Linked DNA regions of Neodiprion lecontei. The protein of the gene in region 1 interacts with the protein of each later gene in a pairwise test. Links are inferred from orthologs where the notes say so. Each region holds a gene or a part of one and is shown on either strand. Other genes may lie near its edges.

Region 1 (5,240 bases):
ATTTAATCGACTACCTCAAGTCAATAGAAAAGAGGAAAGAAAACAAAAAGAACATTGTCATGTTTACATCGAGATAAAAAATCAATCCTTTGGTTTAATGGTTGTTTGTTTGTAGTTTGTTTTTTTTGTCTTCCACTGTACACGATTCTGTGTTATTTTACAAAGATTTTATTTCCCCTTCACTAAACTTGCACCTACTATAAATCCATAAACGCTGTCGAAGCAATTGAGTCAATTTTAGCATGAAATAATATTATTTCTGATGTAAACATAATCAATGTAAGTATATATTATACTAATGTGCAAAACAGAAGGAAATAACAAATATTGTTTTCTTTCTTCTCTGAAGCCTGTTTAAGTTACGTATCAATCGCTCCCGATCTTGATGCAAACATTGTGCTAACGTACAAATTTTTCGATTATACATGTGTGAAAAACAAAAACATTGAAAGAAAGTTGAAATTACCTTCTGTTGCAGAAAGCGAGATCTTTTATAATAAAATATGTCACAATACTGACGACGAAGATGAGAACAGAGAGAATTAATGAATACAGCGTATACATTGTATTAATTTTATCGATAAATACACTATACAGTCCTTCTGAGAAGAAGAAGAACAAGAATAATGAAAGGGAGATGATAGTAATAATTTTTTAGACTGATATAAAAAATACTAATAATGATAAATAATGATGATGATGATGATGATGATGGTTATACGATGATAATGATAATAATTTATTCATTTACGTAATCAATCGAGTACCTTTAGTACAGGGAAGAGAGAGGAAGAATGAAAAGACGGAGGAAAGCTGTTGCAAAATGTAGGGAGATTGTGTTTTGGAGCGTTGTGTTAACACAACGTTATATTGGTTCCTGGATTATGTTTCTACTACACAAAACGAGTGCCTTTTTCATCTATATTCTATCTCGCATTATCTAACTTATAATTATAGTTGATAATATTATACATACATTATAACATATACATACATAACATACATATTAATAATTATTGAAGGTATTATTAAATTACGATCTCTCTGCGAACAGTTGGCAAATTTTTACTTATAGATCACGATATATGATATACAATGTTGTACTTTAGCACCTCGTTTGCGCCCTGAGACTGAAACCTCTGCGAATTCGAAAGATTCTTTTTGAGATTTCATGAACATTGCAGTTGAACTTTGAAAAAAACGATTGTAGAAAAAACTGAAACAAACAAACAATTATGTTGAGGTAGAGAATATTTTATCCGGTGTCAGCTTTGCTAATTCTTCAATCGTAACGTCAAATACTCAATGTGAGATCTGAATGGATTCTATTTCGAATTCTGACGAAAAGCGGGAGAAACCGATACAAAAAAAAAAAGTAACAAATTTTAACATTGTTGCAGTGAAAACTAAGTTGAAACAAAATAGGAATCATTTATTGACTACAATTAGTAATAATAACAGTAACAACAATAATAATAGTATAAAATATACACGAGGACGACGATGATAATGGATAAATAATATTATGAGTACTATTATTGATTATGTTTTTTAGGATAATTTTATTTTCGGCATAACATAAACGTAAACTAACTAATCCGAACAAATACAAAAATGAAAACAGAAAAAAAAACTAAGCGGTACGTGGAAAAATGATGTATATTGTTGTGTAAATTACACCACGAGGTGTGATTTACATATGAAAATGAATTATTATGTAGAAGGCTTCTTACTGACTGAATAAAATGTTTTCAATGTCTGAATTCTTTTTGCCTCCTTATAACATCCATTTACCGTCTCTAAAGTCAGAGAATCTTACTTTTTCTTTACTTTGAGATGTTCGAGAATATGAATATTTCATAATTATATAATATTCTTCAAATATCATGTATTTAAAACTGCATTGTACTTCACTTTTGAAATTTTACATCGACTTGTGACCCTTGAATATGTATTTACAACTTGAGCGGAAATTCAAATTTCCCGCATCAGGTATCTGGTAAAAAAGTAACGAGAATTCACCGAAGGCAGCTGATTTAAGGCTAAGTGAACCAATCAGAAAAGAAATATACAAGAATTTAGGGTATTTCTCGTCAGACTCGAATTCTGATTGGCCCCTGAATTTCTGTCGGGAGACGAAGGCGGAACGAAAGTCGGCGCTTAGTCGACTAGTAGGTTAGTTGACTCTCTGCCCGTTCTCTGCTCTAGGCTGGGAGATCGTGTCGTGAGAGCCCGGGTGAGAAGTCCGGCTAAGCGAGGTGCGGCGAGGCAGAGGACAGGGTAGAGAGAAAATACCATGACGAATCGTTGGTCGTCCTCTTTGGTTTGATCCCTAAATAAAAATCGAAAAAATAAAAATCAACATACTAGAATTCGCGTCAGATCCGTGCGCGCACGTTTTTCGATCGCCGTGTGGCCACATAAAATTAAGCAACTGTTCATTGTCATTCTGGGTGGAAAAGAAGAGGACAGTGCGCACCGCAAATCAGCAACATCCCTATCTACCTGAAGTAAGTAATAAGTATGCCTGCATGTATGTGTTAATGATCAAACGCGCGTGCGTGCGTGTATTTTTGAAAATTGTCACACACGTTCGTCTACATCCATAATAGCGGTGATCTTTATGCTGTAAGCGTTTACATATGTCATTTTTTACGGTTTTTATACAGTGATCGCCTGCTGACTCGCCTGCTCGCTTGAGCTAGATCGGAATCAGCGTTAGGATCGGATATCGAAAGCTGTGCGATCAAAAATCGTCGCCATTTGAATATACAATGATTGATCAACCGCATTGATAGAATGCAATTAAAAATGCTAAAAACGGTCACGTATCGGGCACGAAAAATGTTTATTAATAAATAATTGCAAGTAGTAATAAGACTAATTTCTTTATTTTCTACTCTAGTGTATGGTAGATACAGCTAGGCGACTTTATAGGCACATGTTCAAGTATACATTGCGGTATATACAATACATATCGCTGGTATGACACGTGAGGTTATTTTCGTTCTCCATATCATTCATTTTTACTATAAACCTTTGGTAGCCGAAAGCGACGATGTGCGTTTATTCTCGCATATTCATCATTAGACCTTCCTCTGTTTTCTCGTGCTTTTACGAAATTTACTCGACGTCGTGAGATCCGTTTTTCCTTGTCCCATAATTCAAGAAATCCGCCGGTGGTGACTTTTAAAGACGTTGCGTTGTAATCCTTACGCGATGCCGCCAGGCGATAATCTCTCGCATATTCGCCGTTTTCGATTACTTGACGGTCCCTGCGTCTTGAGGTCTGTAGAGCACTTGCCAAATTAACGGACTCCACTGCCGTTCAGCATCCCTCGCGTCATTATCGAAGGTACTGTCAGTACTGAGTTGTGCCTTTAATTTTCCTCTATTCCCTGTTTGGCGCGCAATTTGTTACTCCTCCACGCGCGCCAACGACCCTGATTAGATAACATTCGCACTAACCTAACCTAATTTAACGTTCGCCATACGATACCACAACATAACCATGTATTCTACGTATGTAATGTAACATACCTGCATCTTATCTACGCTAAATCCATATTATTTATGTACTCTACCGACAATCTTATTGAAGCAAACTTCTAGGTATAACTGATTCTGTAGCTTTCTAATCCTTTTTGTGATCCCAACTTTAACTGCGACAAAAAAAAAACTTTGTCATAACATAACACAACGTCAATTACACTTACCTGGGATGTGTTACGTGCATAAATTATCATACGCATACTTATGTGGATAGAATCAAATACATAACACAGTTTTTGCTTGAGCGCTGAGCATTGGCTGCTGAACTGAAGGCCGAGCCGAGTGTGCATGTACAGTTTGACTTACGTCTGTTTTACATCAAACACATAGACGCGTATCCGCGTACGTGTGCGTACAAAATCGTTGATGCAGAATATTTCCAGGTCACAGACATCTGTCTGGAAATTTTCGGAATAATCCTAATTTCCCGTTCATCAACTCGTTTAATGGGAATAATTTCGATGCGAATATATTTATTATAAATTTTTCTTACATTTCAACGGTTCGCCCGATGTATTTTATGGTCTTATTGGAGGGTGAAGTTAGCCGCTTTCAAACCTATAAGAGGAAATAGAATGTGCAAGTAGCAAACTTCACTCTTCAGCCATACGATGGAGTTTTACGGACTAAATTCTCGAGTCTTGGAACTCGACGATAGTGAAATCACATTTTAGCTATTCTTACCGTAGTTTTATTGGGCGTGAAATAGCGTTTGACAACTTTGGAATGCTGGAAATGATAATACTGACGAAGTAAAATTCCAAGCGTCTCAGCGGCGGCCGTATGCAGCCCCCCCCCCGACCCCCCTCGCCGCCACAATTTTTATTCATAATATTTTTATTATTTAATGCTTATTTATTTCGTTTTTTAAATTCATTTAAGGGGCTTACGGGAACAAGGGACTTAATTCTTTACTTCACGGAGAAAGGGCTTAACACCTCTATTCTATACATAATTTTGAACAAAAACACTGAAATCTATTTTCTTTTGACGCAGAAACAAAGAAATGGCATGAATTCTACGAATTTTATATTACGATTTCGTAGAATCCAACCCATTTCTTTATTTCTGTGTCTATGGAAAATGGGTTAGAGTGTTTTTGTTCAGATTTGTATATAGAATACGGTTGTTAAGCCGTTTGTCGCTCTTGAGATACGTGGAATTAGATATTTCGAGATATATACGTCACATCGAAATCGACCAGGGTACTTCCTTAACGATTTTACGAGTTTGTCTCATTCATGTAAAATTGAAACGCAAAAATCACGTGTTTTTATGATGAGATTTATTTCATTTTTAGGGTTCCCTGCCTCAAAAGGAAAAAAACGGAACCCTTATAGGATCATTTCATTGTCCGTATATCTGTCTGTCTGTCTATTCGTCTGTCTGTTCGTCTGTCAAGACCTTTTTTCTCAGGACCAGGTAAAGGTATCAAGTTGCAATTAATCTCAAATACCAAGGTCTACGGTCCCTTGGAGGTGTAAAAAATTCAAGCTTCTAAATTTACCCGCTCAAAAGATACGGCCATTTATGTCATATATTTTACTGCTCGCAACTCATAAATAAAAACCTATAGGGTCCTTCCGGTTGACCCAGAATCATGAAATTTGGAGGGAAGTAAGGTCTCACAACACAAGTAAAGGAATAAGTAGGAAAATAGTTAATTTGCACTTATATCATACAAAAAA
Region 2 (4,882 bases), on another chromosome or scaffold:
ACAAACCCAAAAAGTTTATTTTTCAAATTGGGTTTCATTTACACCTTCATATTACCTTGAATATTTCTTTCATCAAGAATCTCCGCTGCCGCCATGAATTTTTAGGTTACACGCTGCCTGTTGCAAGATCGCGATACTCACTTGATAGATCAATTTTTAGTTATGACGTAATTCGTAAGATGGCGCATTTTACATTGTGCATTTGACAAGGGTCGATAGCGTAAGTCGATACTATCGAGATTTCTCGAAGCGTTCGACTATTTGAATAAGGAATTGGTTTGGGTTCAATTATTGCGGAGTTAGATCGTAAAATATCGTAATTATAAGTATTACGAAATGATGCAGTAACCCGAATCCCGAATTAATGATCTGATAAATAGAGAAAGAAACAAGTGATTGTACAACGCGGAGCCATGCAAATTGACAATCGGGCAATTACAATCGAAGCGCATTATAATCCATGCGACGGCTCGCGTGATGATATTTCATCAGATTCTTTAAAACAAAAAAAAAAAAAAACAGGTTCTTCACACGACGTGCGTGCAGCGTAAGATTATGAGATATTCATAGGTATATACGTGTATTAAATTCGCTGTAAAATACGCACACGGTTTCACTAGGAAAAACTCACTTACATTACACAGGTGTACGACAGGATTGCGCAAATCAACTTTAGTCCAAGCTGCATCATAACGTAGGTATATTGCAGCGCTCTCATATAACAGGCCTGTCTGCCTACTGCAGCACAACAAACTGACAAAGTAGCAAGTTACATAGATACGTGGTAGATGGAGAATCTTAAAAACGTATGCGTTCATGACTCCTCCGAGTATGCGTTGTCCAACGTGCGTGGCGCGCTAAGCCTGCGATATACCTCGATTCAAAATAAGTACGAAGCGAATAATTTGCCGACGGTTTCAAATAACCGTCGCAAATCACGTCGAACAGCTCTCGTCAAGCTGTCATCGTCTCGCTTTGTTTCGTTGTGCTACTTTGGATAAAAAAAAAAAAAAAAAAAAAAAAAAAACACTGCCAATGAAAAAATACAACCACCTCAACGGTTTTCTGCGGAGCGATAAGACGCAATTTCAAGTCTCGAACTGCCGTCCCGATTTAGGTGATCGCAACATTCTACATTGCGCTAAAACGTGCATTAACGTATCAAAAAGATGCGTGGGAGTCAGAGCTGAGCCGTCTGATCCGCACGTCTCGCCTGCCTCGCAACAGCTGTGATCGGATTATGACAGTCTTGTACAGGCGTATACCTGGCTGTGAAACGAGCTGTCGAACCTTGAAACGTACTATCGCTTACATGGAGCGAAGGATCGGCGACATGACTACAGAGCTTGATATAATGGCATGGCTTGTGTGCAACGTTTATATGGCACGAGCGAAATGCCGCCCGCGCCTCTTCTCCATAACCAATCATTGGATCTGAAATAGGTAGGGGGGGGGGGGATAAGTATATTGTACTTTGTTTAGATATTTCAGTTAATAGATATTTCGATCAAAGGAAACACATCCTCCGACTCTCTCATACGTACCCGATTGATAATCACCTTGTGTAAATAATAATAATAATATACATGTATAAAGAAGAATATCGTGTCGTACGGATTACAATTTTTCATGTACCTTATTATATTTATGCCGTTGTATAATTATATTCTTATTAGGAAGTACGTCTGTCCCTCGCGAGTTTCGCGCGTACCTACAAAGCTCGCATGATCATATTATATACACACCTTCGAATAATTCCGGGAGCCATACCGCGATTAGTTTAGCTTTGTTGGATATCTAGGACTCCTCGTCACGCGCGTAGAGTACGGAGTTTTTGTACACTGCATTTTAACGTTGTATTGTTAAATACCTAAAACGGAGGGATTTATGGAGTCGTAGACGGAGCGACGCACGTTGATTATACCTGCAGATGATCAAGGTGGGTGGTAGTTTCGATTTTTCTCGTATACAATAATCTGACTCGTTTTGTGGTACATTGAGAAATATCACACTTTATACGGTAAAATGTGTCGCTAATATTGTATTACCCTACAAATTAGCGTAGGTATAATTAATAGAATGAATCTAACGCTGCACGATTTTTTCTGTTATAATATATTAAATGTTTAGTCTTATTATGAATTAATATCGTTTGCGTCATCGCTGTGTATAAACAGAGTATCGGGAATCGGAAGTGACGAACCGGAAGTAGATAGTGTCGCTGCTGGGTTGAAGATTTTTCAGATTTATAAATTACGTCTGCACGCGTATCTATTATTAGCGATATTGTAAGCGCGCCGGCGGATCGCGAGTCGCGCCGATTGAACAAACAGGAACAATATCACGATCATCGTCATCCGAAAAAGCCTGCAAGTATAAATTATGTATACACGAATTCGTTTTACCGATGCCGATGGAAAAAACTAAAAACTTATACCGATCATTAATAATTAATACGTTGCTCCGCACTTGTGCAAACGGGGTTAAATATTTTAATCGCATTTGTTAAAACCATATCGGCACACCTTTCGTTTGTACATACATACGTGCATATAACTACAAATATGTATCGTACAAGTATAATTATATCGGTAAGATCACCGGGTTGTGTTACGTAAGTAGATAAAATATTTGACAAGCGATTGTTGTATCGCAAAACAATGGTACCTCAAGTAACATACTGGTAAATAAATGACAACAATAATAATGATGAAAAATATGATGAAATTAAATGTAGTCAATATATTTATTTTTATTGTTATTGTTGTTGTTGTTATTAATGTTACCGCCGAACGCGCGTGTCACAATATCGATTCGATAACGATATTATCATATTCTTTATATACGTATATCGCCGTGTACAATGAAATTCGCGGCGCAAATGCGCTGCGCTGATGCTGCTGCTGCTGTCGCCGTGGTTTAAAAAGAATCTCTCGTATGGAGGCAGCGCGCTGGGTATTTCAGTCTTCGTTTAAATGGTGGATATATACATGTATATTCTTACTCACGGTTGCGCTTGCTATTATTAGTTCCTAGTCACCAGAGTAGAGTATAAGCTTCTGTGTATTATACGGTGAAATAACACGCTTCGAAAGTGGTACGCTTCTTGCATAATATAAGTAAATTAAATAATCATCGATAAGCTGCAATTACGTTGAAAAAGGTTGAAAAACTTCTTTGGTGTCTGACACACGCCTGCCTCGACGAAATTTTAAATTTCAAACTATCGTCATTTCACCGCTGAGTTTCCGAGCGTTAACTTCTCCTACGGATAAACTGCTCTCTGCACTTTTAGACCCTGCTTATTTCAACTGTCAGACGTGTACCAGCGACCATCGTTCACTTTTTTTTTTTTTTTTCTTAACAATGATTGTTCACCAGTTATCACCGTGAGTTTAAACATATGTCTGTGTAAACGCGGGGTTATGATCGAACGGAATTTTTCGAATTTGAAAAAAGGAATTGGAACAGAAAAAGCGTTGGAACTGTTACCAAGGAAATATATCGGTGCGTGTGACCACGCGGTTCGGGATCTGAGAGAATAATTTGAATATGATAATACGTGTGCGGAAGGATTAGACGTCGCTGTAAAATTGTTCAAGAGACAATGCGCGCCGCGGTATTTGAACTGTTCGAAAAATATGAGCAATGCTAAATCTGAGGCTGTATAAGTTGACGCCTTTATACTTGTGCATGCATGCGTTAGTGACTAACGGCTAATGGCGTTTCGGAGTTATTGGAGGCGAACCGGTCTCGTACTGTACTGTATTTGAATTACAGATAATCGAAGATTTAATTTTCGTTTAGTGACGAGGCTGAAGTTAGTAATGTTAACGTAACGATACATAAGAAATGAAAAAAAAGTAATCATTGTTGAACAATTTTAGATTGACTTTAAGATAGTTGGCTTTTCAGAATGAGTGTATAATATTTTGCTTGTAATAATTGACTAAATTTCGGAAATTTACAAAGGTGCGAATTGGCGATTTTTGATAAACATTCCTCGTTACAGTAAAGTTACTAACTTCATCCTCATGTTTAACGACACCTTTACCTGCACCTATTGTCATTATTCTCGATTTGCCGAATAATTATTGCAGTCTGATAAAATATAATAGGTGTTTCCTTTTTTTCATTTGCTGCTTCATTAGCGACTGCTGCTCAGCTCCAGGGTGCCGGATCCATTGCAATAACAAATCACCAAGCTCTTAGATGTGTTGAATTATTACTAATTGTATGATCCGTGAAAATGTATACGTGTGAAGGATGTAAGAAGCACGCCTCTTTAGTGCTGTAATCATTTTGCCGCTGATAATAAATATTATACACGTATATTTGAGGCATTGTACTAATTCAATCTGAATCACCTAATCTTTGAAGAACGTGAAGTAAACGTAGGTACGATCAAAGTTTTTATAGTTTGAGTGTTTGAGACTTTAATATAATCCTAACATTTTTTTCCAACTCCGTTATAAAATCAGTATAATTTACCTACCACCTCCTCCTTCTCGATATAAAACTTCAACATCTTTTCAGATGAGGGATGCCGTTCTGCAAAAACGGAACAGTAGCATAGCCACCCCGAAGACGAAACCATCGATTCAAATATATCGCCCTCCAGGTTTGTAAACATTTACCTATGTTTTTCTGTAAACATTTTTCCAAGTTATTCAAATATTTTCGGGTGAAAATTCGATTCTCTGTTACGTTAGTTATATTTTCAACTTTACAGTTGCTTCAGAAAATATTTAAATACTATATATATATATATAGTATATATGATGAAGATAACGGTGACTCAGCTGTTAGAACTTGCAACATACGCAGAATTGTCAGTCACGATAATAAAATACAGCTGTTTTTAGCCTGCGAATGGTTGGTA

The links.
Region 2: the proteins of eukaryotic translation initiation factor 4E-binding protein Mextli (region 1) and uncharacterized protein LOC107224571 interact in a two-hybrid assay, tested with the Drosophila melanogaster proteins (2 studies listed by BioGRID). The link is inferred for Neodiprion lecontei from reciprocal best matches to the Drosophila melanogaster genes mxt and CG13124.

What each region holds. Positions count from the first base shown.
Region 1 is NC_060264.1:21,030,272-21,035,511, reverse strand, and holds the start of eukaryotic translation initiation factor 4E-binding protein Mextli, read left to right. Parts: upstream 1-2,174; 5' UTR 2,175-2,510; intron 2,511-2,871; exon of another isoform or gene 2,872-3,950; intron 3,951-4,045; exon of another isoform or gene 4,046-4,110; intron 4,111-4,236; exon of another isoform or gene 4,237-4,272; intron 4,273-5,240. UniProt on the Drosophila melanogaster protein: Plays a role in promoting translation.
Region 2 is NC_060261.1:3,497,888-3,502,769, forward strand, and holds the start of uncharacterized protein LOC107224571, read left to right. Parts: upstream 1-1,593; 5' UTR 1,594-1,930; coding exon 1,931-1,939; intron 1,940-2,827; exon of another isoform or gene 2,828-2,975; coding exon of another isoform or gene 2,976-2,978; intron 2,979-2,988; exon of another isoform or gene 2,989-3,097; intron 3,098-3,232; exon of another isoform or gene 3,233-3,389; intron 3,390-4,151; exon of another isoform or gene 4,152-4,398; intron 4,399-4,536; coding exon 4,537-4,621; intron 4,622-4,882.